Nothobranchius furzeri: one gene and its partner. The protein of the gene in region 1 purifies or fractionates together with the protein of each later gene. This does not show direct contact. Links are inferred from orthologs where the notes say so. Each region holds a gene or a part of one and is shown on either strand. Other genes may lie near its edges.

What was found.
Region 2: the proteins of eya4 (region 1) and dctpp1 purify together in Homo sapiens (affinity purification with mass spectrometry; 3 studies listed by BioGRID and IntAct, with this or other methods). This does not show direct contact. The link is inferred for Nothobranchius furzeri from reciprocal best matches to the Homo sapiens genes EYA4 and DCTPP1.

Annotation. Positions count from the first base shown.
Region 1 is NC_091742.1:854,262-871,096, forward strand, and holds the end of eya4 (eyes absent homolog 4), read left to right. Parts: intron 1-2,181; coding exon 2,182-2,325; intron 2,326-2,541; coding exon 2,542-2,624; intron 2,625-4,675; coding exon 4,676-4,850; intron 4,851-6,017; coding exon 6,018-6,154; intron 6,155-6,309; coding exon 6,310-6,393; intron 6,394-9,184; coding exon 9,185-9,274; intron 9,275-9,468; coding exon 9,469-9,527; intron 9,528-9,688; coding exon 9,689-9,849; intron 9,850-11,706; coding exon 11,707-11,821; intron 11,822-11,946; coding exon 11,947-12,068; intron 12,069-13,431; coding exon 13,432-13,532; intron 13,533-13,611; coding exon of another isoform or gene 13,612-13,712; intron 13,713-15,146; coding exon 15,147-15,227; 3' UTR 15,228-15,721; downstream 15,722-16,835. Other genes in the region: rps12 (small ribosomal subunit protein eS12), read right to left, coding at 15,853-15,915, 16,083-16,184. UniProt on the Homo sapiens protein: Tyrosine phosphatase that specifically dephosphorylates 'Tyr-142' of histone H2AX (H2AXY142ph). 'Tyr-142' phosphorylation of histone H2AX plays a central role in DNA repair and acts as a mark that distinguishes between apoptotic and repair responses to genotoxic stress.
Region 2 is NC_091747.1:80,459,976-80,475,972, reverse strand, and holds dctpp1 (glutamyl-tRNA(Gln) amidotransferase subunit B, mitochondrial), read right to left. Parts: upstream 7,503-15,997; 5' UTR 7,297-7,502; coding exon 6,820-7,296; 3' UTR 6,623-6,819; downstream 1-6,622. Other genes in the region: piggyBac transposable element-derived protein 4-like, read left to right, coding at 9,055-9,223, 9,334-9,993, 10,089-10,333, 10,420-10,830; gatb (glutamyl-tRNA(Gln) amidotransferase subunit B, mitochondrial), read left to right, coding at 7,546-7,685, 15,948-15,997. UniProt on the Homo sapiens protein: Hydrolyzes deoxynucleoside triphosphates (dNTPs) to the corresponding nucleoside monophosphates. Has a strong preference for dCTP and its analogs including 5-iodo-dCTP and 5-methyl-dCTP for which it may even have a higher efficiency.

The DNA of each region.
Region 1 (16,835 bases):
CAGGTAATACATTTTGTTATTTAATCCGCTTGGATAACGTCTAAGCTGTAACACAATGAAATCTCAAATGCCTGCCAACAACAGCATGGCAAATGAACACAAGTCCATTTTTCAGTCCAAGTAAAACAAAAGGTTTCTGAATGTGATTTGAACATGTGTGCTTTTTAAGTGAAACCATTAAGTGTTTTAGCTCTGTTTAACACTTCAATAATACCAGTTATCTATAGTTAAATAATAAAGTAACTACTCTACACAGTTCAACCAAACAACAGATTTTTTTTAGACAGTAATACATTTATGTTCATTTTTTGATTCTGTTGTATTTGCATGCTGGGAACAATGGACATGTTTAGCATGTTATCAATCACAACTGATTTTCTTTTATGAAATGTCAGAAGATGTACATATTTCATTTGCATAAACAGACCACTTTTCCATATGCAAAACATTTTTTCTGAGCATTTTTTAAGCAATTTGGATGTTTAGCCATTTTTTTGTTCCATCTATAATGGTGCAAGTAGGTTAGCACACACCTGAAAAGTTAATAGATTTGTTAGTTTTCTCAAAATGATGCAAAATAGTGAAGGGGTTTAGTTTTTTTAAGAGTAGGTTCACTGAGAAACCATTTTGTACCTATAGCTTTTGAAAATCATCAGTCACTCTGGTTTTAACATGCAGGCTGAACATTAAAATAGTCTTCTACACCTATCTCCTGCATTAGCTTCTGATAGGAAACGGACGTAAAAACGCTTGGTTCAGAAAAGCCAGACGGATCTACGTCACATTGCCACTTAACATTCATGGTCTCACCCATCTTGACTCGTGACGAGGAAGACTGTTGTTGGTTTAGCTTCCAGGAAACACCTCAGCTAGTAGAAACTATCCGTTAGCATTAGCAACTCCCCCCAGATACAGTAGCAGAACTCCTCCATGCTTGTGTTTTTTGTGAAGATAAAACAGTCACTGGAAAAGCTGCATTGCTGCTAACCAATCAGAGGCAAGATGTCCAAATATCACAAGATAAGACTCATCTAAAGCCACTTACTCCTCCAGCTGACTTCCACAGTCTAAACCAGGAGCATCTGAGCTTTGTTGTTTCCCAGAGAACAACTTACAAGGCATTTGTTCCTACAAGAGACCACTACAAATTTATTAAAAATATGAGTGAACTTGATCTTTAATTATTTGTCCAGCTACCAGGTATTGTACCTGCTATTAGTAGTATTACCCTAAATGAGAATCCTGTAGATGTACACCCTTTATCTAACCAAAAAATAATTTAAATTGAAACTTTCAGCAAAAGTAATACATAAAAGTCTCTAAAAAATATGAGTCGTGTTCAGAAATTGGTACTTTAGAGAAGAAATCATGTAAGACATGTTACCTGATTAAGGAACAGTCAGCCTTGTCAAAACTGTCCTTTTGCTTTGTTGTTTGGATTTAAACCTGCTCAAGTTCTTGCCTGAAGGAATGAGGGTGAAGAGTTCAGACTGGATAAATTAGGTCCTTTAGTGCTACTGGTACACATGTCCTCTAGAGAAGGGAAGCTGTGGTTAGTCATATCTTTTAGTCCGTCTCAGAGCAGTTGCCATACCAGACAGTGGATTAAGAACTGAAGTATTAAGCCTGCATCCTAATTTAGCTGCATGTTATGTCATGTTATGCTTACCCTGCAGGGTCTACTGTATCCCTGATAGATGCCATTCAGATATTGATCAGCTTAAATCTCCGAAGCAGCTTTAGGTTATTGTTCTCCATAATTTAAAAAAAGAGAAATACAAAGAAATAGGCTACAGGTTGCAAATCAAATGTTGTTCAAAGAGGGGAAAAAAGGAACATTCTTGAAGTAAGTCAGATGATTTTTACAGTTTAAAAATATTGTTGAACACTTTGTTAGACAAGACGTACAGGACCTAGCTACATTCAAAGTTTAAGTTCAGTCTGGTTTGTCCTATCTAGGCTACTGTAGAAATATGGTGACTGTTCCAGGACATCAAAATCCTAAAATATCCTATTTTTATACAATCCTGCATCATCAAACGCATCTTTATGAAAACATTCCATTATTTAAGCAGAAATGTTATATGTAGAGAGCAAAGCAAGGCAGGTATTTAATCACAAACATGCTAATGCTTTCACTTGTTCTAACATTATTATTATTCTTTATTGTCCCTGTCACAGACCTGGGAATGATGCTTCCAGGGATTAAGACAGAGAGCAGTTTAACCCAGAGTCAGTCTCCTCTACAGACGGGCCTCAGCTACAGCCCCGGTTTCACCACCCCTCAGCCCGGACAGACGGCCTACTCCCCCTATCAGATGCCAGGTCAGCTCACAGGAAAAAAGAAAAGAATCAGTTTTACAGTGTAAAACTTCTGTTTTATATTTTGATTGGGTATTATTTTGGGTATTTAGTCTTATGATGATCAGAACACTCCTTTATGTTTTATAAATCTGTATAATAATAATGTCTTTGTAATGTAAGAAATAATTTCCAGTAGGTGTGATTTCTGTCTTCTCTGTTCTTGTTTTTCATTGAAAGGTTCTAGTTTCACTGCTTCCTCAGGCCTCTACGCCACCAACAACTCTGTGTCCAACCCTGCCAACTACACTGCTACACAGCAGGTAATGCACACTCGTGCACACTGAGAACAAGAGTCCAATAACCAGAACAGATAAAACAGTTGAAGTAAATGGTTCTTTTTTTGGTTGCAACAGTGTTTGAAAGTGATTTTACAGCCACACTCCAGCACAGCTTCCTCAGGGTAGAATGAAAAAAGAAAGCTCACTACTCTGCAACATGGGAAACGCAACTCTTGTGAAAGAGTTTTGTTTTGAATATTTGACTTCGTCCAAATGATGAATCGTTTTGTGGTTGTAAAATGCTTAGAAGGGGATTTCAATTTCTGTCTATGATAGATGTGGCTGTTTACATGAGAAAAGGCTAGGTTTGGTGTGTGTGTGTGTGTGTGTGTGTGTGTGTGTGTGTGTGTGTGTGTGTGTGTGTGTGTGTGTGTGTGTGTGTGTGTGTGTGTGTGTGTGTGTTGTATTACACATGTGTGTGTGTGTTGTATTACACATGTGTGTGTGTGTTGTATTACACAAGTTATCAGAACAAATCTGTTGAAATCATTTGGGGCACAAAAAGCAAAATTAGCACACACTGGGATCGTTTCCGTTATCAGAACTTCCAAATAATTGTACCAGACCTTTATGGCATTCCCGTGTCTCTATTTCCCTGAAATGACAAATTTCCACGACATTTCAGGGATCAACAGAGTACCAGAACAAGGGTATGTGCTCTGAAATGGCCCTATAGGGTCACTGGGCAGGACTTGTGGTTAACACATACTGATTGGTTGTAACTCTTTAGGAAATGACATCAGCAGGTGTGGCTAAAAAACCTGGAATTTGTAAAATTGGAAGCGTTAATGGTGAAGCTGAATTAAAGGAAAAGAAAATAAGTAGCGTTGATGCTGCTTTAAACTCACCTCTCCTAAACTCCCAACCTTAAAAAACGCGGCGGGACTCCCGCCCCAACGCCATACCTCACAGTGCTTTGTGGTGTCTTGCAGAGCACCCTAAAGAAACGGCACTTCTTCTGATCATTGAACACTTCTTTTTACATCACCTGAATCGACTAAATTATGATGTGTGAGAGAATTTAACTTTTTCATGTAATGTACATGGATGGTCTCTGGCACTGATCAGTGACATCACTCACTGTTGAAACGGTCGTGAAATGCTGACGTCTTAAGCTGGGCGGACACTGTGCGACTTTTTCACTCGTAGCACTCAGCTTCAGCTCAAACTGTACGACTTCCTCGCAGGGCAGATCTCACGAGTCATGCACTCACATTGCACGACCCAGTTCTCGGATGCGATTTGACTGCTCACACTGTACGTCTGGTAGCAACACGTCGGCCCTAAAAATATGCTAAAAATAGCAGTTTTTACTCAACACGTCAGACTTTTTTGTCTTGTCTTGCCTGTTGTCCTTCGGGAGTGCTGCAGGAGGACACACAGGGATTTATGGGGGTTGGATGAGGAAAACTAAATAAAGAAAGTAAATCTGTGTTTTGTGATCAGTTTAATTTGACATGAACACGACAAACACGCTTTCTTGACAATCTTTGTGAGTAAAAAAATGTGTAGAAATAAAAACGAACAGCGTGTGTTAGGGAATTAGCGGGCGAGCAGCGTTGATGCAGGATTGCGCATGCGCCGTGAGCGGTTCTGATACTTTTTGGGTCACAGCTGCTCGCAGCGCCGCTTCAACAGTGCGATAACCTCATGAGGGATGAGCGAAATATTAAACACGCCAGAAGTCTGTGCGAGCTCATGACTGCTGATCGGTAGCTGGTCACGTGGTGTTAATCGCCTCTCATAACCCCCTGTACACTACACGACGCTCGGCGCAAAACTCGCCCCGATCTCATGGATTCTCGCACGAGTGTAAAATCGGCTCAAAAAAGTGAAAAAGTCGCACAGTGTACGCCCGGCTTCAAAGTCCTGAAAGGGACGATTTTGTATGGAGACCCAACGGCTGGGAGGACAGAGCCATCGTACCTCCCGGTCACTCTTCCCTATCCCAGACATTTCCTGGAACTCCTATAGTAGAAACGGCTATTACTCCTATGTTTTCCCTGCTTGCTAATCTGTGTTATCATCTGCAGGATTATCCCTCATACACAACATTTGGCCAAAACCAGTATGCGCAGTATTACCCTGCCTCCACCTACGGGACGTACGTCACCTCCAACAGCGTGGACAGCACCAGCTCCACGGCAGCTTACCAGCTGCAGGATCACACTCAGGCTATGACAGGACAGGCTGCAGAACTTCACCCAGGTGTGCAGAAAATGTATCCTTATTAATAACTAGGGATGTAAGAAAATATCGATATGGCAATATATTGTGATTTTTCCTGCAACGCTATACTGGTATTCAAAAGCTGTGTATCACATTTTTGGAATAATTTACATGCAATCTTTTTGTGTGCAATTCAAACGCTGACCACTAGTTGGCAGCAGTGTGCAATGGGTTTTGTTTCCACCACTGAAACGTAAATCCCTCTATCGTGGTTCCGATACCTCACGTTAAACATGTTACGTATCAGTTTGGACTGTTAATTGAATTTTCCTACAAAACAGTCTAAAAAAAATTGTTAAAATCGTCTGGCTGAATGTATCGCAACATATCGTACTGTCTCCCCTGAATGTGATACGTATCGTATCGCCAGAATTTCACCAATACACATCCCTATAAATAACCTTACAGAACAATTAATTACATGGCATCAGCTGTTATTAGTTTACTGGTGCTTGATAAACGACGTATTAGCTGTTAGCACATCAACACTCTTGAATGTAAAAGCTTTTTCTCTAAACTGAGGCCACTCAGAAAGCTGTAACTTTCACACAGAAACACACGTCAAAGTGGCAAGTCATTTAACAGCAATTTGATGGGTGGTCTCAAAGATTTTGTTTGATTTGTTACATTATTTGAGTCTTCCTCATCCACCCCCTCCCTCTCGCTCTCCTTTCTCTCTCCGTACGAGCCCCGAAAACCCGAGTCTGGTTCTGGTTACTGAGCAGCAGTGGGTGCATATAGCACTGCAAGGGTGTGCTCGAGTGGAATGTCCATCTGTAGGCCTCTACTGTGTTTTTCCATGCATTCGGAATATCGATTATATGCTTTGTTAGGAATCATCTGATTACATAATGTGTTTGAATTATTGCACACTTCCTTTAAATCTGAATCCTACATTTTCCAGCGGACCTTTTGTTTAGGTTTCTTTCGAGAGTTTAAGTGGATCTTTCAGAGCAATTACTGTGAATTATTAAACTTGCCAAAGCTCTGTAAAAGTCTGAGTTATTGCTCTTCCTAACGTGGACACGGCATTCTAATGGAAGCTGTTTTAAACATGTCTTCACTGCTTTCACAATACAGTGAAGGTAGTTTGATTGTGCCAAATATTTACCATTCAAGCATAACTGTGGTTCTGTTGACTCTCAGGGGACTTTGATACAGTGCAGAGCCCCTCCACGCCCATCAAAGAGCTGGATGACAGAGCCTGCCGGAGTGGGGGGTCCAAGTCTCGTGGCAGAGGCCGCAAAAACAACCCCTCTCCTCCCCCTGACAGTGACCTGGAGGTAAGTGACTGAAAAACATGTTCTCACTGAGAACCAAGAGCACTGACCGGATTATCAATTCAAGCGTCACTAGAGATTTGTTCTGACTTTCAGTTTTGACCTTCTGCTGGAGAAGAACTGAGCAGAGAAATCAGTTTCTTTTATTTGTTCTGCAGAGGGTGTTTGTGTGGGATCTGGACGAGACGATCATCGTCTTCCACTCTCTGCTCACAGGCTCCTATGCACAAAAATATGGCAAGGTAATAATCCGCCTCCAAAACCTGGTAATATTTTCACTCTCTGGGTCGAGACAAAATATCTTCTGAAAATAATCGCTTATTGTCTGGCAACCTCCCGGAGCGCTTCTCCATTTAGTAATGAGTTAGTCAGAAAAAGTGGGCATTAACAAATAAAACTGAATGCAACAAAACATGAAAATACAAGAAAAAAGGCAAAACAAATGAGAGAAAGTGGGACAAAGCATTCCAATACCTCGGAAATTACGACAGAATCACTTGTATAACTTTTCCACGAATGTTGCAGTGTGTGTCCTGTCATGACCCATACTCAAACCCTTTCAATCCAGAGGAAGCAGTCCACCTTTCTCGGGTTGAGAACCATGACATCAGAACAGGACAACATCATCTGCAAAAAGTTGATGAGAACCTTCCTTCACACTAAACAGGATCAGTGATGGGGGGGCACCCTGGCAGAGTCCTACCTGCTCTAGCAGTGAGAACGTGGACACAGCTCTTACTGACTGTTTCAACACCAGATTGCCCTTAAACGTCACCCTGGTACCCAATACTCCTGCTGCACCCCTACAAAATGCCTCAGCAGGCGAGGTTGGAAGGCTTCACCGGGTCCGCAGAGCACATTGGAGCTCGACTGCCTAACCTCTGCGACCCCCTTATCAAGAGTGACGATCCGGTCTAAAGCTTCACAGCTCAGAGAAAAGCCCCCCTGCTCCTCCGAAATATCGGGTTGGACTGTCACTCCACGCCTCCTTTCCAAAAAAGTACAAAATATTCTCCAAAAATGACCAAAACCAATTACATTTCCCCATCAGCTCATATTCTCTAACTCAACAACAAACAGGGCACTCGTTGTTCACAGGCATTTGTACCTCTCAGTGGACTTTAACTGCTCCAAGAACGATACGCTCAATTTATAAGTGCATAGTTTATAAAACGAGTCTTTAAATGTAGCTATAAATAACTGTCAGTACTCTTATTAGTCTAATCGTAACCTGAATGTGCTCATTTCTACCTCTGAATGGTGTTTACTCCAGTCCTCTCTGAACTGGTTTGGTGGTCACTTTCTCACTTACTAGCTGCACTGTTTATAGTTCCATTTATTTAATAGTTCTTGGCACCGATCTGGGATCATCCTATGTGGCCACGGCTGCAGATTTTTATTGGGTGATGTCGTTTCCTGTGGGTACCCGTGTGGCCACTGGCCTCCCCGTGTAGGCTTTTCATATTTGGTTCATTCTACTGTTCTGTTTCTGCCTGGCAGAACAAAAGCTGGCATGGTCTGAGGGCATGTAGCCAGACCTTCATAGAACTTTGAGGGCAAGTCGCTTTACAAATAGGCATTTGTGGGGACTGATGGGCTTCCTTTTTGCTCCACACCAGTGAAATTTAATGTTTGGCAGTTTGGATTTATAAGAAAAGCCCCGGTTACTTGTGTGTGTGTGTGTGTGTGTGTGTGTGCGCGTGTGTGTGTATGTGTGTGTGTGTAGGGCAGAAACACATGTGGCCTCAGAGGCTGAGTCAGACTCAGAAAGATGATTTCATGATGTGCGTTTGGACTCAAGTGGAGACATTTGTGCATTTGTGATATGCATTCCAAAAATGAGAAGTTTTCTGTGGTTAAAAAACTGTTTTGTATTTTATAAACTAAAACATTTTCGTTGAACTTTATTTGAGCACAAACTGAATTTGCACCAAAAACATAAAAATCAGCAGCATGAGTGTTTTTGTGGAAATGAACACGGATCATGTTATTTTCAGATTAAAATGTGAAGTTTGGACCAGATTTATTATATTCTTCTACCATAGTTTTTAATTTAAATGTTTATGCTTGCTGATTTTTTTATTCTGTAGAATGTGTTGCTTTAAATTTGAAAACCAACCATTTCTAATATGCAAAAGATTTTTTTTTACTAAATTTGGGGGACCTGTTAATGCAACATACTTCTCTAAATAATTACAGGGGCCTTTTTTTCACCTTATTTTCTGCTGATGCGAGAATCCGTGGCAGCTGCTTCTGTTTGCACCTCACCCTAACTAGCATTTACAGTATGGACACAGAGACCACCAGATCTAAATTCCTGTCATACGTGGTTCGAGGTCAGATCTGCTGGACGCAAACACAAAAAGTCAGACTGCTTATAGCTCATTTGTAACAAGGGAAGATGTTTGGGACATCAGTAGGTGTGGATTTTTAAGAGTTCAAGGAATTAGTGTAGAAATAGTCAAATTAGCCAGACGAATATTTATAATTACTTAAATATTATTAAAAGTTTTGGCCTAATTGCAGCACCTGGAAAGGCTTAATGCTTTCACCCTTCCTTGATTTTGTTTCTGACACTCAGGAATGTGTGTGTGTGTGTGTGTGTGTGTGTGTGTGTGTGTGTGTGTGTGTGTGTGTGTGTGTGTGTGTGTGTGTGTGTGTGTGTGTGTGTGTGTGTGTGTGTGTGTGTGTGTGTGTGTACATGCGCATGCACCCCCTCGCTAACCTTCCCTCTCCTTCCTGTTGGTTTCTTTCTATTCCGGTCTGACAGTGTCAGCGAACTGTGCGACAGGCTGTCGACCCCCGCTGGTCTATCACAGATGATGGTTTTTGCAGCTGAGTTTCAGGCTGGCAGGGCAGGCTGTGCTCTCCCAAACACGCGCAAGCACACACACACACACGCGCACACACACAGGCAAACAGTTCTCATACATTCGGGCTCCGGCAGGCTCCGCTCAGGCAGAGGGTGTTTCCAGCTTCTGTGTTTCAGAAAAAGCTGAGTTCTAGTGATTTAGAAATCCCCCATGTCTGCAGGACCCTCCCATGGCGGTGACCCTTGGTTTGAGGATGGAGGAAATGATCTTCAACTTGGCCGACACGCACTTGTTTTTTAACGACCTGGAGGTAGGAAAAAAAAAACTTTTACGTTTATGCTTAAATTTTAAGAGAAGTGTTTAAAATTGCATTTTTGTTTGCACATTAACTTAAAGATTAATAAAGTTGCTCACTGAGATGTCACTACCGCCATCTAGTGGCAAAGTGAATATTGTTTAGATTCTGATTTATCCGCATGGACTTATGAGTGTTTGTGACTCCAGGAATGTGATCAGGTACATATTGATGACGTATCATCAGACGACAACGGCCAGGACTTAAGGTTAATATTTCATTTAATTTAGTTTGCATGATGACTTTTTTTCTACTTGAAATCTTTTTTCTTAAAATTGAATTAAACATTCTGATGATAATTAACAATAATCAAGTTTTTGTTCCACCAGAGCAGACTTTTCAAATAAAACATATTATTATTATTGACAGTACTTACAGTTTTGCAACTGATGGCTTCCATGCAGCTGCAACCAGCGCCAACCTGTGCCTGGCTACGGGGGTCCGTGGCGGGGTTGACTGGATGAGGAAGCTGGCCTTCCGCTACAGACGGGTCAAGGAGTTGTATAGCACTTACAAAAATAATGTCGGGGGTAAGCTAATACAAATGCAGTAATTTTGATCTGTACTAGGAGAAAGGTGCTGTTCAAGAAGGGTTTTATTGTCCTAAAGTAACACCTGAGCAGTTTTCTGTTCCTCTGTCCTACTGGTTGAAAGTGGAATTATAAAGTCTGTCGTAAACAACCCTGCTGTAGCTATTGCTAACAACTAGCTAATGCTAACCCTAACCCCCAACTAATACTAAAATAATCCACAAAGTAAAAAGATCCACACTGTTGAACAAAAAAAAATTACAAGTCCAGAAACAACAAAGCCAGGTCACCATCAGTCCGTGATTTTGTAGCCTCTTTTAGCTCAAACTAACACAAACCCGGCTGATGTTCACTCTGATTTTAGCTCTTTACTTCACGTCCAATGACATTACTCTATTACTTTTACGTCCAGGCTTCACCATGATGCCAACAAAAAAAAAGCAAATTTCTTCTTTTTCTACTTGTGCTTTATATTGATGATTAGCGAACTGAAAAAGCTATATGTTAGCATTACAGCTAACAGCCATGAAGCAGGTAAAGACCTCCCCCTATAGAGCACCTACATGCTCCACAAAACTTAAGTGCAGTAACTGGCCAATAGAAGAAGAAAAGATCTCTTCTACAGCGCCTCTCAAGATAAAAATCACGAGGCGCTTCACAAAAACAAAAAATTTTAAATATTAAAAAGAATTTAGAAGGTGATTAAAAATATGTTTAAAATGAGCAAAAATAGACTATTGTGATTAAAATATGTAAAGAAAGAGAGAGAGTGAATAGGAAAGAGGGAAATCGGTGGGTCCTGAGGAAGGTGGAATAGGTGGGGAGAGCAGAACCAGGAGAGGGTGATGAAGGTCAAGCAAAAGCCAGCTTGAACAAGTGAGTCTTCAGCTGCTTTTTAAAGGAGTCCACTGAGTCCACTGATCTCAGGCTCAGGGGGAGAGAGTTCCAGAGTCTGGGGGCCACAGCAGCAAATGATCTGTCACCTTTGACCTTTAGCCTGGTGCGCAGTAGAGGGCTGCAGAGTGGTGTTCAAAGTGAAGTTGGTGAAATTTCTACTCACACGGTCACTTAAACCCACTTTTGAAGGAATAGTTTAAAGTGTTAAAAAAACTGTTTAGTGTTCCTTTAAAGCAGAAATGAAGATTTTTGTCAGATGGCACCATCTAGAGCAGGGGTGTCAAACTCATTTTAGCTCAGGGGCCACATTGAGGGAAATCTAGTCCCAGGTGGGCCGGACCGGTAAATAAAAAAAAACTTCAGATTGTTTTCTTTGTTTTAATACAATCAATATAAAACAAGGCTGGAGCCTGAGGACAGTGTAGTACAAGTACAACACCTGAAGTGTACTTGAAATTTTGAAAAAAAAAAAAAAATCAATCAATAAAAAAAAATTCCTTAATGATTCAAAGAACTTACAGATCACATGGCAAGATCAGTTTCATGCAGCACTTAAAGCATATTTGACTCATTTAACTTTACATCTTTTAGCTTTCACCAGCACATCAATATCAGAAGTCACATCCTGAGTGGCAGCCAACTTCAGGATGTGATTCAAGTTCTTGTGTGAGCCTTGAGCGCAGCTTTGTTTTATTTATACTCATTACAGAGAAAACTTGCTCACAAAGATTAGTTTATTTTCACTCTACATTGTAAAGTATGAAAATAAAGTTTACACAACCATCTCGCGGGCCGGATTAAACCCGCTTGCGGGCCGGATCCGGCCCGCGGGCCACATCTTTGACACCCCTGATCTAGAGGCAGAAAATGCGTCGCACCTTAAGGCAAACTTTACCTCTGAAAACAATTTCTCGTGTTTCTATACCTCTGACCCTGTGACTCTGTTTTTGTGTGTTGTAGGTCTGCTGGGTCCAGCTAAAAGAGATGCCTGGCTGCAGCTCAGAGCCGAGGTGGAAGCTCTGACGGACTCCTGGCTCACCCACGCACTCAAGTCCCTGTCCATCATCAGCTCAAGGTGACACATTGTTTTACTTTTTTCCATTGTTGCTGATTTTTCTGTGTTCTTGAAGTAATCCCAACACGGCAACAGATTATGCACAGAAGTGGAAAAAATGGTGTGTTCTGTGTTCATGCCCACAGGAGTAACTGTGTAAACGTGTTGGTGACCACAACGCAGCTCATCCCGGCGCTGGCTAAGGTTCTTCTATATAGTCTCGGTTCCGTTTTCCCCATCGAGAACATTTACAGTGCAACAAAAATAGGTGAGGCTCACACACGCATGTACACACACAGTCATGGTTCAGATCACATAACGTGTGGAGCCTGAATCCTACCTGTTGCATTCGGCCCTTTGAACAACCTCAGTTTGTAGAAATAGATATAATCTCGTCATCTTGATAACATACGGCTAGTTGAAGTGGGTGCATTGCTATTAGGAAGTAGCTCTAATCTGAAAGAAATCATTGCATTTTGTATTTTTCTGCTTTTGATACCCTAGGATGGGGTTTACATACTTAAATAAATAGTTGCTTGTGGTATTTGCACTAGCAAAATAACGGACTTTGGACTAGTCATTAGCTTGTCACTGCGGTCAATCTGTTTTTCTCTAAACTGAGGTCATTCAAAAAGCTAACGACCACAGGTAAGATGAAATTCATACCTATAAACCGAATCAAACTTCAATAGATCCAGCTCTCTAATATATAAGAAGAAAGGATAATAAATAATTTATCTACAGTTAATTCAAATGTTTTGCCACATTTTTGACAATTGTTTTCTTTAAAGGTCAAAGTCACTGAAGAGGATTAGGGCCACTGAAAAGAAAAAAAGCAACTAAAGAGAATTTTGACTCTTTTTCTTAAAACTAATAAAGTCAGTATCCGAGAAAAGTCTGAATTTTCTCTTTGCTTTTCTGCGGCCCTAATCCTCTTCCGTACAAAGTTGTAAATAACAAGGTAACCGTAATTCAGTTACTTGGATTTTAAATGGCAGTTTTGCTTTTATTACATAGAAATGTGGTTATTTCTATTTGCTAATGATGGCGGCAGCTAGCTGTAGCATTTCTGGGTCACCTCCAGGGAGAATTTTATAATATTTTTCCTGAAGTATAGAATAAAATAGAAAAGTAATTTGTTGTTATACTCAAAGTTACAAATTACTTGAGTGTTCTCACCAAGCACTATGCACCACAGATAGTTACAGCAAAAGTAGGTAGCAAAACAATGAAATCTTATTTGAAAAACACAACCTATTTAATAACGGGTGAAATGGGAACCAGTTGTTGGTGTGAACTAAAAATACATTTGCAAATGAAACCATAGCTTGAAGTTGTTTGAAGATGAGCCATCCTTGCACTAGCCGTTAGCTTGTCAATGTGGCCAGGATTATTCTATATTTCTCCAAGCACAGGTCGTTCGAGGCTATTTCCACAGCAGGTAAGAATGGTTGATTCCACATAATTTGTTTATTTGAGCCTAAGTGCTGACATCTTTGGGCCCGACGAGCGTGGGAGAGCCATTAGGTGCGGCACATGTTTGTGTTGTGGCGCACGCCGCTCTGCCACTTCCTGTCACATCTCCATCCAAACAAATGGAAAACCTGTGAAAGCCGTTTGTTTTTCTCCAGGCAAAGAGAGCTGTTTTGAGCGTATAGTCTCCCGCTTTGGCACTAACATTACATATGTTGTGATTGGCGATGGGAAGGATGAAGAGCATGCTGCCAGCCAGGTAAACAAACAGCTTGTGAACTTTGACCCCTCTGACCATGTGACCCTCCTTCCTCCCCTTGTTTATTTGTTTTTTGCAGGGAAAGAGAGTTGCTTTGAACGCATAATGCAAAGGTTTGGCAGGAAAGTAGTGTATGTTGTAATTGGGGACGGTGTGGAAGAGGAGCAGGCGGCCAAAAAGGTAATGGACCCCCGAAACCTTAGCGTGACCCCGCCTACTCCGCACAGTGTGAGCTCTGATTGGACGAAACCTGCCTTTCTTTGCTGCAGCAGTTTTTTGTTTCTCTGGTCCACTGGCTTTTTGTTTTCATGGTGTGATGGGAACCTGGAGTGAATATCTGAGTTACAATCTGGCTTGGCTTATTGTGGATATTTGTACTATTAAAGCTGAAACGTCCCTCCAACACGGAACGTCTGAACAAAGATGACCTCGTTCAGAACTTTAATTCTTAATAAAATGTTTTGCCAAATGTACACAGTAACCAAGCTTTACATAATCACTTGTTTAGAGAATCATTGCTGCTTTTTCCAGTGATTTTAAATGTCCTTCCTATAGGTACTCTACATTAGAACATGTCTCCTTCAGAAAACGACTCCTTCCTCTTCAGCTTTGGGTTTTATTTGTGACACCTGGGGTCGTTTAAAGAACAATGCATTTTGGGAAATATTCCTATTTACTTCCTTGTTCGGTTAGATTGAAAAGACAGATAAAGACTGTTTACTTGGAACAAAAAGCTGGAAATATGGGGGGATTTTAAGCATAGCTGTTTTAAATTAAAAAGATGCTTTTAGAATCAAATGTCAAAATGTTTACAAACAGATCTTTGGATAAAGAAGTGGTTCACATGAACAGTTCAGGGAACATTTTCATTCAGCTGTGCGTGCTTTCACCAGTAATCCAAGTTTTTAAACGTTAAATAGAAAATCAGGAACTTTTTATTTGTAGGTATGAAATAAACCAGTTAGTGGTTAGAACTGGGTGAAAAATTCAAGATTTTTTTGCAACAACAGACCCACTAAAAGTTTATATTTAACACATGGTTGTATTTACTAGGGATGCACTGACAGGAAACGGGCCGATATGTGCTGGTGTGTGTGTGTGTACACATTTATGCTTCAGAGACTAAACACAGGACTAAACAATTAAACATCAACGCCTCACTCTGTGAAAGACACAGAAACAAGATAGAAAACATATTGGTTAAGATCAGCCCAGTTTTATTTATGGGGCCGATACCCATGGTAAAAAATGACTAACATATCGTATTGATGCCAAATTACCGACGGGATTAAAAATGTATAAAAACTGTAGTTTTCTTAATTATCTAAAATGTGCAGAAATGTTCCTCTCGTCTAAAACGACCCAGAAGACCAGTACGTCTAGGAGCCACACCAACGTTTGAGTCGTCAGCCAGATTCTTCTGCCTGTCATGCAACTCAGAACAGGAGCTGCATATTTCCCAAAATGCTTCCGGATAAGACGTGCATGGGTTTGGTTTGCAGTGCCATTGCAGCTCCAGGCTATATAGATGGCGTAGCTTGCATGAGCTGAGGTGGTGGTCTTCCACTGCTGGAGCAGAACCTGTGGTTTTAATGGTGTGTGTTCACTTCACAGCACAACATGCCCTTTTGGAGGATATCCAGTCACTCTGACCTGCTGGCCTTGCACCAAGCACTGGAGTTTGAATACCTGTAAGGACTGTACCATTGTGGACTTGTGCATCGCTACCATGGAAACAGCCCTCTTTTGTACTATTTAAGAACAAAACTTAAGACTGCATCTTGTGTTTTTTTTTTTTTATCTTTTTCTGAATGTTTGGATTTACAAACTCTTTATGGTCTTAAGCAAAGAGGTTGGAGGTTAGAGGTCAGTGGGGTTTGGAGGAACTGGACTCTATGCACAGTGACCTGGATGCTGATACACTTCTGAAGAATCCAGTTTACCGTCCACGCAGCTGAGCCAGAAAAGGATCTTCTCAGAACCTGGAGCGTTTCTCTTCCTGTTACCTGGCGTTTATCTAGAGCAACAGACAGACATCCTCACCTAATGTTAATCTGAAGGCATCTGCATAGATTCTAATGTAAACTGGGATACTTTCTCCCTTCAAAGGGTTTTTTTCCTGGTGGTAAAACTCATGCAGTCCGTGGTAAAGAAATCTGTAAATTATTTCCAATAAACACAACAGTGGATGTTTGTTTCTTTTGTCAATAAAATTCTAGCTATTCTTTCCCTCCTGAATTCATAATCCCGACTTCATATCGAACAGCTTTAACACAAATCACCAGAGACAAAGCTTTTATTTCCACATTTTATTCACATCTCATTTCTTGGCTTTGAAGTATTCCTCAATCACATCCTTAGCTTGAGACTCTTTGCCATAATCCTGTAACCAGAAGAAAACGTTAAGATTAGCTAAACAAGTTCCGGTTATTTAAACATGTGGGTTTGGTGCAAGTAGGTGACCGGGATTGCACCATGGCCAAGACTTGGTATGAACAGCACCAAACCATTTGTCCTTGAACACAGAATGCCACGTTTTACTCTGATTACCTTGACAACAACACAGCTGCAGCCCACCACCTTGCGGGGTTTGCCCTCACGGTCGATCTTGCACAGACCAACCCACTCACCGAGCTTCTTGTTGTCGTCAACCTGAAATAGAAATTTAAGTCGATGGAGAGTCAAACAAGCAGTAGAAAGTAGGACTGTACTGAATAAATGGACGGTAAATACCCGTAAGCACAAAAACAGTCGCCCACTAGATGGGGCTGTGGCAGCAGAATTGCTCCACATCCAGATTCATTGACACCATTATTCCACTAGATCTATTAATTGCTATCATTTTAATTGCTACCTAAAATACTGCAACCCTAATAGAAAATACTTTGGTTAAGATTGGTTGAAAAGCTAAAACACACTGGACAAGTATTAAAATAACTAAAATTTCCTACAAACAAAAAGTATTTAAGATACAATCTCAGTCTAAAGATGGAGATTACAGAGAGCTAGCCTGGCCTGCCAGACTCTTCCTCTGTTCTACATAGGGCTGCAACAACGAATCGATAAATTCGATGAAAATCGATTACTAAAAGCGTTGGCAACGAATTGCGTCATTGATTCGTTGTTGCGCAACTCTTCCAAAAGCCCCCTCCCCTCCTGCCCGCCGTTGCGCGCAGACCGGTGGAGAGCCGGCAGGTGTTTGTAAGAGGAACATGGCAGAAGCAGCGAGACCCCAAAAAAGTAAAAACTTCTAAAGTTTGGGAGCATTTTCAGTTAAATCAGGCGAAGACATTCGTTACCTGC
Region 2 (15,997 bases), on another chromosome or scaffold:
CTGCTAATCTGGAAAGTCAAAGATCCACATCCATCCATCCATCCATGCTAGTCTCCTGATCTGGCGTCGGGTTGCGGGGACAGCAGCCTAAGTAGGGAGGCCCAGACCTCCTTCTTCCCACCCAGTTGGACCAGCTCCTTCGGGGGTATCCTAAGGTGTTCCCTGGCCAGATGAGAGACATTGTATCTCCAGTGTGTCCTGGATCTTCCTTTGGGTCTTTTCCCAGTTGGACATGTATGGAAAACCTCACCAGGGAGGCATCCAGGAGGCATCCTGGTCAGATGCCCAAGTCACCTCAACTGGCTCCTCTCAACGTGGAGGAGCAGCGGATCTACTCCAAGCCCCTCTTGAACTTAAATATATTAAAAGTAATTTAAATTATGCTTTTGTTGATTAACTTATAAAAACAGGAATGCAGCTTTCATTTCAAATCTTATAAAAGCTGAAAAGTCTTTCTTCCGTTTGCAGTTTTTCAAACATAAAGACGGAAAGGGATTGGTCTGAGCCGGGATGCTGGAGTCGTTTTCATCTTGCTGCAGTGAAGTGACCAAATTATTGTCAGAGTAGGAAAACTAAAACTTCAGTGTGATGAATATTATAGGGAAGGGTTTTTTACCCAGTAAGCTAATTTTAATGTGTGTGAGGGAAAGGCTGTTGCTGTAAAGACACTGGGGGGGGGGGGGCTAAAGGACTCTAGTAGGGTTAAATTAATGCCGGCCATTTACGATTTGACTAGTTTTGCTCTTTTCTTTTGAAAGTAGGACCCTGCTTGGGTGTCTGGGGCCAATTTCAGATACATTTCTGACTGAGTCAGCTCTAATTGTCTCTAAAGGAAGGTCTGGATGTAAAACATGTTGTTTGTTGTTGACAGGAGCTCTCGTTTTCTGAAGTCTGTGACTTTCTGCACATCTTTGCAGCTGCTTAGCAGCAATAATAAAGTGTGTTGTCGAGTAACTCTACAGTACAGCTTTGGATACGTCCCATCACACAAATCCAGGACATCCTAAAAGCTAACTTTACCCCTTAAAAAACTGCTGGTATGCTTTTTTTGGATTTAAAAGCATCATGCAAGGATATTTTCTTTCTATTGGGATGAGAAGCAAAACCTCATCAAACACAAGAAAGGAAAACAAATCCAGTAAAATGATGTCAACATTGTGCTAAAACTGTGATAAATGTCAGTAGTTTGGCATAAATACCATTATGTTTGCTTTGGAAAGGCCTTTTCACTGTCATTGGCATCTTCACTCACAAAACTCAAATACTATATAGAATTATTTTTGAAGGATTTCAATTAGAAAAAAAGCCTATTTATTCTGAAATAGTTGAACATAATAGAATTTAATGATTGCTGTAATAATTGCAGCCTAAAGCTATTTGGCCAGTTCCATCGGCCTACAGCAAAGCGTGCTCTGGAGTTAGCGATTGAAGAGAATAAAATGTGTAAATGGCACCAACACTGTTCTGTTCAGATAAGCAGCAGCCTGGAACCAAGCGACCCCATGAGGACAATAAAGACTGAGTTAAAACCAAAGAAATGTTTAATTTCCTGCAGAGATTTGCTCGTGTTACGTGTCTAGATTAGTTTAGAGAGTATGGCTTGAGTAAAAGGAGAAGAATATCCTAAGATGTTCAGAATGCTTGTAAATATAGGATGAGTTTGTTGTAGGGAGAAATCACTAAAGAGGGGCAAATATCTTCTCCATCCATTAGCAAAAAATGTCTTCCTTTGTTTCTTTGTGAGTGAATTTCCTCATGTGGGATGTGAACCACTAAATAACCCCTTTTTTTGAGGTCTGACAGCTCCAACTTCTGTTGTTATGGGGAAATAAAGTGTTATCTGGGAGATGCAGATGATAAGAAGGAAATTGCCCCAAAAACAGAAAAATAAAGCTTTTTCCACCCAAAAACAGGCCCAATCACTGCAGTAACTCTGTTTGAGCACAGCAAACTAGACTCCGAGCATCCTCTTAGAAACTCAAAACAAGCAGCTACAGGCGTGATGGTATCTGCTTCACTGAACAGCACAAAGCACAAGAAACATCCACAGATTTCAACTCATCAAGAGTCTAAAATGTAATTATGCCCTCAGTGCCGCAGCACGAACACCCTCTCAGTTCTTCCTCAAAACGTAATAAACACAAGGGAGCAAAAAGTCATCTCCTTAGCTCGTTTCAGCGAACATTTAGAAACTTTTAAAGTGAAGCCAACTCAATACGCCGAGAGAGACGAGGCTGCACTTCAAACCAACACAAGTACAGTCTTTGTTATTTAGGTCAAAACTTCCCTTGATTTGGGTGCAGTTTGTGATACTGGTTGGGTTTGTTGGATAAATTTGAAGAGGCAATCTTACAATGTGACTTGTAAAAGTACAATCAGCAAGACAGTTGCATGGTGGTTTCTAAAAGAGGCTTTTAGAAGGTTCCAACACATAATCAACTCTCGATCACCAAGCAGAAAGTAGCTTTAGATGTCATATTGTGGAGATTTTTTATTCCAGAGATGAATTGCTTCTTTTTCATGTAAAGTACTTTGGTGCAACAACATACAAGGGTCAGTTTAATGTAGACATTCTAGTTTATCTTGAGTTATGATAGTAATATGGTGTATTAAAACCTGTTAATGAAGCTATTTGCAATAAATTCCTCTCGCATGAAGCTATTTCAGTAGTTTTAATGTTGACAGTTTCAGTACCTTCCAGAATGAGCCATTTCTTGGCCCTGCCATTTTGAGAAAACAAGCTGTACTGACCATTTCCACCCATCCCCTACATGGCTGCTATAAGCTGAGAAGTTCAGTTACCCAGGTGGTTGTATTCTAATTTCTCTATTTGTGATGTCAAACGGGTTGTTTAAGGTGCATGTTTCCTAAAATCAAACACTGATGGAAAACAAATGGACAGGGTTTTTTCATGTTTGAGGTGTTTCTAGAGACAGCAGAGACCAATTCTGGCAGCACAAAAGGATGCAATAGATGAGTTTTGCAATATTATTCAATTTTAAAGGACCTGCATCATGCTACACCTTTCAGAGCAGCGATAGGCCCAATAAATGATAAAATATTATCATTGCTAATTCCCTTGCTTGGTTCTCATCTAAACGCAGCGTAGTAAAAATGTGTTTTTACATTTTAAGGAAGGTGAAGTGAAGGAAACAAGTCGAAGACACACAAGAGCAGCAAAAAAAAAGCAGAAAGTAGCTACAATAAATAAATCGGCCGTAACAGACCACTGCACAAGGGAAAACCATGGTACAGCACACCCCAACCCCACACAGAACAACAGAAATACAAAAGCCAGTGAAATTAGGAGACACGAACCAAGGACCATGAACAGAGATGATGGCAGTGACGTGCGGTCAGAGGAGGCAAGGGAGGCACTTCCTCCTCTGTCACTGTGACAAGTAAAAAATACTAATAATGATTTAATATAAAGTCAGTGTATCCACTGACTGTCTGTCTAAACTCCCTGCTAGCTGCATGGAGAGGCTGGGCGTTAGTGTTTACAGTCGAGGGGAGGAAGGATCTGGACTTGAGAGAATACCGGGATGTGATCTAGCAACAACCTAATCCGTTTAAGCAAAAATTTGCTAATCTGAAGAAAAGAAGCAGATGAGACAGGAAAATGTATGTGTGGCCATTTTGGGGATGTTTTTGATGAAGAAATAACACTTAAACATGGTCAAAAGCTCTATGAAGTGGATTTAGCATACTAACTTTTAAGTTTGGATTAGAACTTTCAGAGGAACTGTTTCAACTCAAACTGAATGTAAAATCATAATTTATTTAAGGTGTTCAGGAGCAGGTTGAAGATGTGGCAGTTTAAAATGAATGCTTCTAAGCATTCATCTAAAACATCCAAATATGTTCAAATTGACATATTTTTCTATCGGTGCTCAAATGAAAAGGTGGACATCCATCCTAAGAATCTCACGAAATATTTAAAGACAAAAAAGCTTCAGGTGACAACTGGAAGGCTTGTTTGAGACCTTTTGATAAATCGGGGTCTTTCTAATAAACTGGGACTGAGTTTTAGGATCATACAAAAACAAGCAGATGTAGAATATTGTCAGCAATATTTTACATCAGATTATCCAAAATAGTTGGCCTGTAAGTTTAGCCCTCATGTTTTCTACAACCCTTTAGTCAGCGATCGATACCTGAAACCAGAAAACGTTTTAGTTTGATGCCAGATTAACAAACATTTGCTCCATCTGAATATGGATTCGCCAAATCTTTTTAAATAAAATGCAGTTTGTTTTGAAGTCAGACTCAGCTTACCATCTTAGCGATGCACGACTGTTCTCGACAGCTTGAGTATGACTCACACTTCCCACCGAAGACCAGGATTTCCAGATGAGGGCATGGTGTGTCTCAAAATACATCAGACAACAATAAAAACCTCCAAACATTTACTCTTCAGTGCCACACCAAGTCCTCCACAGATGTTCTGCTCTGCATCACATTTACTTTGCACCTATAAGTCATAGAAAAAGGCTGGATATATTGCTCCTCCATATTAGTCTGGTGTGACCTTTGGATCAGGTGAATCAAAAAGGAGTGAATTCAGAGAGATTTGTAGTGTTGTCCTGCGAGAGTGAGCAGGAAGATTCAAACTGAACATGTAGTCGAATATCCCACAAAACAAAGTTAGTATTCTGTGGTTTGGCCTGTCGTTCACATTAAAGATAAAGCACACACCACCAAACATTATTCTTTCAAAAAGTCAGGCCAGGTGGAGGTTTGTGAATTCTTCATTGTCAGCATTCGCTTGTGGACATAAATAACCAGTTTTAGGTTTCACAAGGTCACTGCTTACAGTAAATTTGCTACCTTTGTTTACTCTCGCTTGCATTAGGGTTAGCGTTAGAAAGACCACAAGCAAAGGACATTTAAGATGGTTGTTGCACACCACCAAACTATTCCACATCCAGGGAATAAATGCAGCAGACTCCAACAATTTAGAGAACTACTGCCTCCTACAGGCCTGGCATGTCTATAAATGTGCTTCCAATGCACTTGTTTTTTATTTATTTTTTGGCAAAAAACGAGATGTTGTGGATCCAAGTTTTTTCCTAGTTGGTCAGGGGTGGCTATAGGGAACCTGAGTCACGCCCACCTACTTCCTCACCATGGGTCCCCGCAAGAATGAAGAAGATGAATGCAAGTCAATGGGGATAAAAACACTACTTTCTATTTCTGCTTGTTTTGTGACACAGATTTTACATCTGATGTCCGTGAATTTTAAAGAAGCTTTTTGATACCACTAATGCGCTTATTTTCAAACAGGGGAAATGACATTTTAGGCTGCACAGTGGCACAGTGGTTAGAGCTGTTGCCTTGTAGCAAGAAGGTCCTGGGTTCGCTTCCTGGCCTGGGATCTTTCTGCATGGAGTTTGCATGTTCTCCCTGTGCATGTGTGGGTTCTCTCTGGGTTCTCTGGCTTCCTCCCACAGTCCAAAAACATGACTGTTGGGTTGATTGGTCTGTCCAAATTGTCCTTAGGTGTGTGTGCGTGCATGATTGTTTGTCCTGTGTGTCTCTGTGTTGCCCTGCGATGGACTTGCTCTCTGTCCAGGGTGTACCCCGCCTGATTGCCCATTGACTGCTGGAGATAGGCATTTCATGACTATTTTTTCTGATGTTAATCTGATTCTGTTTTGATAGCATTTTGATTTTATGACTTTTTTAATTTTGTTTTCATCTATGTGAAGCACTTCGTGATTCTACGTCTGTGAAAAGTGCTATATAAATAAAATTTACCACATTTTATGTAAATACACCAATAATGCGGGGCAGCAGTAGCTCAGGTGGTAGAGCGGGTTGCCTCATGATCGGAGGGTCATGGGTTCGATTCTAGCTCCCGCCAGGGGTATCCTGCTGTTGTATCCTTGGGCAAGACATTTCACCCAACTTGCCTGTGTTAGTGGTGGTCAGAGGGGCCGACGGCGCCAAATGGCAGCCTCGCCTGTCAGACCTCCCCAGGGCGGCTGTGGCTTCAAGTAACATACCAGCACTGGCAGTGTGTGAATGTGAGAGTGTGTGAAAGCGTCTTTGGGTGTCTAGAAAAGCGCTATATAAGTTCAATGCATTATTATTATTAGGTATTATAAATTTCTTACTTGGCCAGAAGCATAATATAAATTAAATTAATTATTTAAAAAGGAAATGTCTAAACTGAAATGTAAGATTCCATTTTTTGACCAATCAATTCAATTTCAAAAATTCAACCAGACAGAATTACTAACTGAAAATATAAACATAGATAAAGGTGCATGATAAAGTTAACTGCACAAATACACATAAGTGAATAAAACACACACAAATCTGACTTAGAGCTACTTTTACTTTAAGAAACAACACGTAACAATCACGATTAAAACAAACTGTTCAAATCTGGTGGAAGTTAATCATAAAAACACAACATTCTCTATTATTAATGATAAAGAAAAAAAACATTTATCATCACGGTCACCTTTGCACTGCAACCAAGGTACAAACTCAGATTATTTAGAAAAGTATCTTCTTCCAAATCATCATCAATACACCAGACTGGTCACATGAACAACAACTTTCAAACAGACCAGAAGTATTTTCCTTTTACAAAAATAAATGTTTTAACAGTGACTCGGAAAGCACATGAGATCTTCCATATTAGGTCTGAGACAAAAATGTAAAATACAAAACAGTAATCGTGGTTATGAAGGTATCTGGCCCAGAAAGACAGATGTCCCGCAGCAGGACTTTGGTAGAGTTTACAAAAGCAACTCCAGGCAGCAGCAGCTGGGAAGAAGCGTCCCTGATCAGAAATGTCCCCCAGCCTCAATCCTCGTACTCCGTGTACTTTTTGGCCGAGCCGTGCACTTTGCTGGCGGGATATTTCAGCCGGTTGAGAGCAATCTTACGGAGGACCGCTTGGGGGAGGTCGACGCGACACTTCTCAGCGAGCTCCAGCAGGTAGATCAAAACATCGCTGAGCTCGTGGGCCAGTTGCTCCCGCTCGGACTCGGTCCAGCCCGGCAGACCCTCCGCCACCTCTCCTCGCCACTGGAAGAGCTCCGCCACTTCGCCCACCTCTCCGACCATGGCCATGAGGAGGTTACGGGGCTGGTGAAACTTGTCCCAGTCCCGCTCGTCGGTGAACTCGGCCTGCATCCGCCGAATATCCTCCATGGTGGGCTCGGGGCTGAAAGTGAACTTCTGTGGTCGAACTGCTTCCCTGTTGGCGTGTGGCTGCTCCTCCGTGACCGCTCCGTTCTCTTTTAGTCCGCGAGCTTCTCTTCCGTTTGTTGCCATCATGTTTCAGCAGAGTTCGTCCGTTTTTCTCCTACTAAAACTGTTTTTCAATTGTGGCAAACAACGCCGGTTCACATGCGAAGTCCCGCCGGTCGACAAAGCGGAAATGACGTAGTCTTAAGAGGATGTTTGGGTCGGTTCTTAAGCTGATGGGTTTTGTAGTTTTCACTTCAAAACAGTTAACTTAGTTGTTGCTTTACAATGAAATAAAAAACTACAAATCCCACAAATTCAAATACCGTTAAGGACAACATGGCGTCCTGCGTTGCAAACGAGTTGCTTCATAAAATAAAACAATTATCAATATTATTGCCCATAAATGTTTGTTTACGTAGACGATGTAGCACATCCAGCAAACAACGCGACAGCCAGCGTCATCTCACAACCAAGAGGTAAGACAGTCCTCTCTTTCTGTGGATAGTTTATGCATTTATATGATATTTTCTTCAAAATAGCCACACTTTGCTCTGATTACTGCTTTACAAACTCTTTGCATCCTCTTGATGAGCTTCAAGAGGTAGTCACCTTAAATGGTTTTCCAAGAGTCTTGAAGGACTACCTAACATCTAAAACACGTTTTCACTTATTTCACCTTTTTTGGTTTACTACATAACTCCGCATGTGTTCATTCATAGTTTTGATGCCTTCAGTGAGAATCTCCTAATGTAAAGGGTCATGAAAATAACCCTTACCTCACATTAGAGCATTTTTTTGTGCTGACACGTGTATTTTTGTGAATAACTTTGGCTATGTTAATGCAATTTATCTAATTTTTATGGAGGATGTGTATTTTGGAAGGAATTACAAAAAAAAGTTTGAAAAAATATTCAACCTACTTTATTAAAACGTGGAAATCATTTTGTACAGTTAAGCACATTGAAGCATTTTTTTGTGCCATTGACTTTCATGTAAATCATATATTTTTAATTAGCATAAATATTGGCATAATTTTAAAAAATTATGATTGTGCCCGTGTTTACAGTCTCATCACAAATGTAAGAAGCAGTTTTTACTGTTTTTCACTACATGGCATACTTTCTCCATATATAGCAGGGCAATGGCTGACCCAGCATTTAAACTGAATGATTTAGCTGTATTTCTTTACCTCTGACTGCCCATTATAATACATATTTTGCAAAAAAATGGTTTGTGTGTTATTTAGAGATGCCATACAATAGTTTGCATGTGTGTGTTCTGAATTTTTGGTAATTGTGCTTTTTCAGTGTTCTTTCAAAAAATAAGCCTGACTGAATGTACAAAATTAGCTTATTCTGCAAAATAGCATTTTGACATGTGTTCCTTTGTGTGTGATTGTTCAGGCATGCGTGTATGTAGGTATCAAAGCACTTTACAGATCTTCAAAGGACAGATCTGTGATCATTATCTGGAGTGGTTGAGCAGGTGTGGGCCATGGGAGTGTAGGGGGGGGGGGCACAGGTTCTCACACTCTGTTGACTTCATGAATATTCATCAAAGGAATGCTATATATCAAAAATCAAAGGATTTTCTGCTAAATTTCAGATACTCATTCACAATTTTACTTTTGCAAAATGTTATTTCAATAAGTACAAAGCATTTGCATGGATGAAAGCTAAGATGAAGGCTGAAAAACTTCAAAGGCATACATTTGTTTTTCAAAACAAATTCCTGCAGAATCGAATTTTGTTTACATTCAGTAGGGGCAGCTTACACAGGTGCACCAATTGACTAAAAGTACATATATGAGACTCAGATCAGGATTCATTTCTTTGAACCGCAACCATGAGAAGAAGATTCAATGTGAATGAAGCCCTGGAGGTGTTTCAGCAGCTTGAGGAAGAGGGAGAGTCAGCCTCATCCTCATCCACGGACGACAGCTCTTGTTCGGATGAAGAGGCTGAAGATCAGGCCTTTACCCCAGGGCCTGATTCAGGGGAAGAAATGGAAGAAGGTTCAGATGAGGAGGTGGTTGCTGCAGAGGAGAGATGGGACCATCCTTTGTGGCAATCAAAGAGCGGGATCGCCTGGTCCCCGACACCAGGATCCCCTTTCGGGCTCCAGACGTCCGCCATTGTGGGATCACCCGCCTCGCTGTCAGCTACATCCAAACTATTGAGGACAGCTTCGATTTTTTTTTAACTACAACAATCCTAGATGTAATAATAAAATACACCAATATAGAGGGAAGAAGAAAATATGACGATTGGACAGACGTTGACCGCGTGGAACTCCGGGCATTGTTTGGGTTGCTCATCCTCGCTGGTGTGCACCGTTCCCGTGGGGAATCATCTGCCAGCCTCTGTGGGGAGGAAACGGGGAGGCCGATATTCAGAGCCACGATGAGTTTGGGAAGGTTCCACATGCTGACTGCAACATTGCGCTTTGATGACCGCTTGACCAGGGCAGCCCGCCGGTTGGTGCAGCAGGACAAGCTCGCTCCCCTGCGGGAAGTGTGGGACCTCTGGGCGGCCCGGCTCCCTCTCGCCTACAACCCCGGTGAAGATGTCTGCGTTGATGAACAGCTCGTCGGATTCAGAGGTCGCTGCAACTTCAAGCAGTACATGCCCTCAAAACCGGCAAAATATGGCATCAAGCTGTGGGTGGTGTGCGATGTGGCCACTTCTTATGCCTGGGGGATTATTCCCTATCTGGGCAAGACGACTCGAGACGCCCCGGCAGAAAGGGGGCAAGGGAAGCGGGTGGTGCTGGAACTCACGGAGGGTCTGAGCGGCCGCACTGTCACCACGGACAATTTTTTCACCTCGCTGGTTCTTGGAGAGGAGCTGCTAAAAAAAAAATCTGTCTTGTGGGAACAGTTAGGCGCAACAAGCCAGAGTTGCCCCCACAGCTGCTCCAGATGAAAAGCAGAGCGGTTCTGTCCTCCCTGTTCGGCTTCACCTCCACCGCCACCGCGGTGAGCTACATTCCAAAGCGCCGGCGGAACGTTCTGCTCCTCAGCACCAAACACCATCAGGTTCAGATCCAGGAGGGACCGCAGCAGAAGCCGACCGTAATCATCGATTACAACCGCTGCAAAGGGGCAGTTGACAACTTGGACAAGGTAATTTATTTATTTTATTTTGTTTTATTATAATTCACCAACCTAATTGCATATGTAATTTATTTATTCATTTATTTTTATTCCAGCTCGTTGCAACATACAGCTGCCGCCGCAAGACCAGACGTTGGCCCATGTCGCTCTTCTGCAACATGTTAGATGTGAGCGCCTACAATGCCCTGGTCCTGTGGCTGTCTGTGGAACCGGCCTGGAACCAACAGAAGAGGAGCATCCGTCGAAGGCTGTTCTTGCAGGAGCTTGGGACCTCCATGGTGAGACCAGCCCAGGCGAGGCGCACTCGCTTGCCGTGGTCCAGCAGCGCTGCAGCTCTGTTGGAGGTGCAGCAGCAAGTGGAGCCAGGTCCAGCCCAGGAGCAGACAAAGAAAAGATGCCACCTTTGCAGAGGGAAGAGGAGCGTGCATGCACGCTTTTGCCATGCATGTGGACAGGCTGTGTGCAAGGAGCACTCAACAGCTGTGTGCTCAGCCTGCAGCTGTTAGCTCACTCCCCTCTGTGTTTCTCTCTCTTTCTCTCTCTCTCTCTCTCTCTCTCTCTCTCTCACACACACACACACACACACACACACACACACACACACACACACACACACACACACACACACACTTTTTCTTTGTTCGTGTGCTTTAATAAAGTGTTCAACTGGTCATCTTTGTAAGTGCATTTTTTTGTGCTCTAATGACTTTAACGTGAGTATTTTAGAAAATATGACATTACACAAAAACTACAAAGTGAGCAAAAAATATTTTTATGCCTATTTGTGACACTCCAAGGCTGTGACAACTTACCCACAAAAAAGTTAATCTGGACATAACACACAAAAAATGATTTGATTTTTTCATTTTTTGTACAGTTTTCAAACTTCGGGTTTTGCTAATAAACCTAGCAATGAAGGGGTTAAATCTGAGAAACACACACATATTTTATTATATTTTGTTAGGGCTGAAGCCAAGGATGAAATTCATGTAAAAAAATTGGGACTTATGAAATATTATATAATATTTCTATGGGAAGCTTTCTAAGTGCATTTTTTTGTGCTCTAATGACTTTAACGTGAGTATTTTAGAAAATATGACATTACACAAAAACTACAAAGTGAACAAAAAATATTTTTATGCCTATTTGTGACACTCCAAGGCTGTGACAACTTACCCACAAAAAAGGTAATCTGGACATAACACACAAAAAATTATTTGATTTTTTCATTTTTTGTACAGTTTTCAAACTTTGGGTTTTGCTAATAAACCTAGCAATGAAGGGGTTAAATCCGAGAAACACACACATATTTTATTATATTTTGTTAGGGCTGAAGCCAAGGATGAAATTCATGTAAAAAAATTGGGACTTATGAAATATTATATAATATTTCTATGGGAAGCTTTCTAAGTGCATTTTTTTGTGCTCTAATGACTTTAACGTGAGTATTTTAGAAAATATGACATTACACAAAAACTACAAAGTGAGCAAAAAATATTTTTATGCCTATTTGTGACACTCCAAGGCTGTGACAACTTACCCACAAAAAAGGTAATCTGGACATAACACACAAAAAATGATTTGATTTTTTCATTTTTTGTACAGTTTTCAAACTTTGGGTTTTGCTAATAAACCTAGCAATGAAGGGGTTAAATCTGAGAAACACACACATATTTTATTATATTTTGTTAGGGCTGAAGCCAAGGATGAAATTCATGTAAAAAAATTGGGACTTATGAAATATTATATAATATTTCTAAAGGAAGCTTTCTAAGTGCATTTTTTTGTGCTCTAATGACTTTAACGTTAGAAAATTTAAACGTTGGGTAAGGGATAAAGAAAACACATTGAATGAGAAAGTGTGTCCAAACGTCTGGCCTGTACAATATATATAACACACACACACACACACACATATATACATATATATATATATATATATATATATATATATATATATATATATATATATATATATATATATATATATATATATATATATATATATATATATGTATACACACACACACATATATATACCGAAACGGTTCAGCAGTCCCCCGTGAACCCTTACATCTTGAATACAAGTACTTCTAAAAAAATTAGCATATTGTGATGAAGTTCATTATTGTCTGTAATGTACTGATAAACATTAGACTTTCATATATATTAGATCCATTACACACAAATGAAGTAGTTCAAGCCTTTTATTGTTTCTAATATTGATGATTTTGGCGTACAGCTCATGAAAACCCAAAATTCCTATCTCAAAAAATTAGCATATTTCATCCGACCAATAAAATAAGTGTTTTAATACAAAAAAAGTCATCCTGCAAATAATAATGTTCAGTTATGCACTCAATTGCCTATTTTTGCTCATTTTAAATATATTTTTAAACATTTTCTAAATGCTTTTTTAAGTTTTACATTTTTTTGCTTTTGTGAAGCGCCTCGTGATTTTTATCTTGAGAGGCGCTATGGAAATGAATTTCTTTTTCTTCTTCTTCTTCTCCTCCTCTCAACTTTCTCTTCACAATATCCCACAGGTTCTCTACGGGGTTCAGGTCAGGAGAGTTGGCAGGCCAGTTGAGCACAGTAATACCATGGTCAGTAAACCATTTACCAGTGGTTTTGGCACTGTGAGCAGGTGCCAGGTCATGCTGAAAAATGAAATCTTCATCTCCATGAAGCTTTTCAGCAGATGGAAGCATGAAGTGCTCCAAAATCTGATAGCTAGCTGCATTGACCCTGCCCTTGATAAAACACAGTGGACCAACACCAGCAGCTGACATGGCACCCCAGACCATCACTGACTGTGGGTACTTGACACTGGACTTCAGGCATTTGGGCATTTCCCTCTGCCCAGTTTTCCTCCAGACTCTGGCACCTTGATTTCTGAATGACATGCAAAATTTAATTTCATCCAAAAAAAGTACTTTGGACCACTGAGCAACAGTCCAGTGCTGCTTCTCTGTAGCAGGTCAGGCGCTTCTGCCGCTGTTTCTGGTTCAAAAGTGGCTTGACCTGGGGAATGCGGCACCTGTAGCCCATTTCCTGCACACACCTGTACACGGTGGCTCTGGATGTTTCTACTCCAGACTCAGTCCACTACTTCCGCAGGTCCCCCAAGGTCTGGAATAGGCCCTTCTCCACAATCTTCCTCAGGAACCGGTCACCTCTTCTCGTTGTGCAGCGTTTTCTGCCACACTTTTTCCTTCCCACTGACTTCCCACTGAGGTGCCTTGATACAGCACTCTGGGAACAGCCTATTCATTAAGAAATGTCTTTCTGTGTCTTACCCTCTTGCTTGAGGGTGTCAATGATGGCCTTCTGGACAGCAGTCAGGTCGGCAGTCTTACCCTTGATTGCGGGTTTGAGTAATGAACCAGGCTGGGAGCTTTTAAAAGCCTCAGGAATCTTTTGCAGGTGTTTAGAGTTAATTAGTTGATTCAGATGATTAGGTTAATAGCTCATTTAGAGAACCTTTTCATGATATGCTAATTTTTTTGAGATAGGAATTTTGGGTTTTCATGAGCTGTACACCACAATCATCAATATTAGAAACAATAAAAGGCTTGAACTACTTCAGTTGTGTGTAATGGATCTAATTAGGGCTGCACAATATATCGTTATCGTGATATCAGCATGCACAATATGCATATCGCAAAGAACAGATAAATATTGCAATGAATGGCCAGCTCAAATGTTTGCTACACATAATGCATTCTGTCAATCGATGATGTTTTTTTAACAAATCAAATAGAGCTCTTCACCCATTCGGCCAAATTGGCTGGGTTCTCATAGGTCAGATGCCTGCCCCCGAGGCGGATGGCACTATGGTTAGCAAACACCTGAGTTAGCTTCGTTAGCTCTTTCTGCTGATTCTGCTTTTCCCGGGATCCACTGATTGCCTTTTCTTGTTCATTTTCTTTTTCCTTTTCCTCGCATCTTTTGCATTTCTCATTCTTATGATTTTTTATTTCTTTGTTTTGATTATTTTTGTTCCTGAGTTAAGTTTTTATTTATCGCAAGTAATATCGTCATCGCAATATTAATCATTGTTATCGAATATCGCAGGTTTTCCTAATATCGTGCAGCCCTAAATGTAATATACCATAATTTCCGGACTATAGAGCGCACCTCAATATAAGCCGCACCAGCAAAAAAAAAAAAAGGTTTTCTACACACACACGCCGCACAAGCCGCTGCGCAGCAGCCACATGCAGGTCTCCGGCGCACAGCGCATGTACGGCTATAACATAAGATAATTAGACAGAAAGACACTACACGGAAGTTTTTCATTGTTGTTTTAATTCAACAAAACAAATTTTAAACACGTGTGAACGTGCCTGCAAGTTTAGAAAAGAAAACAGCACTGATAGCATTCATATTTCTGGATGGTTATAAAATAAAAACAGCACTGACACGTTATTACCATTAATTTGCATGTTTAGAAGAAAAGAACAGCGCTGACACAGCATTAATAAGCCCTGGATGATTAGAAAATAAAAACTGCACACAAAACATGCCTGGTTAGTAATGATCTGCACAGTGGAAACACCTCGGCCGTCTGCTCTTTGTGTGTTCACCCAGTCTTCAAGAATGTTTTCCAATTCCGGCCATCAGCTTTAATTTCCTCTGAAAGCTTTTGTCGTTTTTTACATTGAGTTCTTCCCGCTGCCGCCTCCAACGTCGCACCATTGATTCATTTATGCCAAGCTCCCGTGCAGTGGCTCTGTTTCCTTGTTTGATGGCCAGATCGATCGCTTTTAACTTGAAAGCTGCAGCATGTGCATTCCTCCGCGTGTTTTCCATGACAAGGGTGTGTCTGATGTGTAAACGTGCCCCTTTAAATCAAAGAGCGTCTTCTTCTGCGCATAACGTTTTGCCGTGCCTGTCTCACTTTACTGCTGGAGAGTGCCTCTAGTGGTTGTTGGCCAACAAAAATCTACACATGAGCCGCACCATGATATTGGCCGCAGGCTTGAAAGCACAGGGAAATAATAGCGGCTTGTAGGCCGGAAATTACAGTAAATGAAAGTCTAATGTTCATCAGTACATTACAGACAATAATGAACTTTATCACAATATGCTAATTTTTGAGAATATATGGTTTTTGTGAATGCATTTTTAAAACAGAAACAGGCAAATTAAACTGAAGTGGAAAAACAAAGCTGGAGTACTCGGGTCAAAGTAAAAGTATTTAGTCAGTGCATATAAATGAACCAATGTTTCAGCGTTGCTGTCTTTGTCAGAGTTACTAATTAAATAAAATTAAACTGTTCTAAAGTGCTAAAACAATAAATACTGTTAATAATAATAATAATTGCAATAGCTGAAATGTTGTTAAAGTTTTCACTGGCCCCATCTGGCCACCCCTATGAAAAGTTTGTGGGTGTGCCTCTGATGTATTTGTCCACTTAAAGCATATCTTTGGTGACAGATTGTCATTTGAGTCATTTGAATGAATTGGACTTGTTTCTCTGTAAAGCACCCCTAATAAACTGGGTCAGTGCAGGTGATCTGATTAGAGTGGATGTGTGAGCCAGACACAGTTACAGTTTTTGGTCTGTTTTTCTTCAGGCTACCAGATAAATTTTTCTCTTTGTGTTTTTCACCTCAGCTCTTCAGAGAAGCTGGTTGGAGTTGTTGGCTTGGAAATTCATGCCCAGA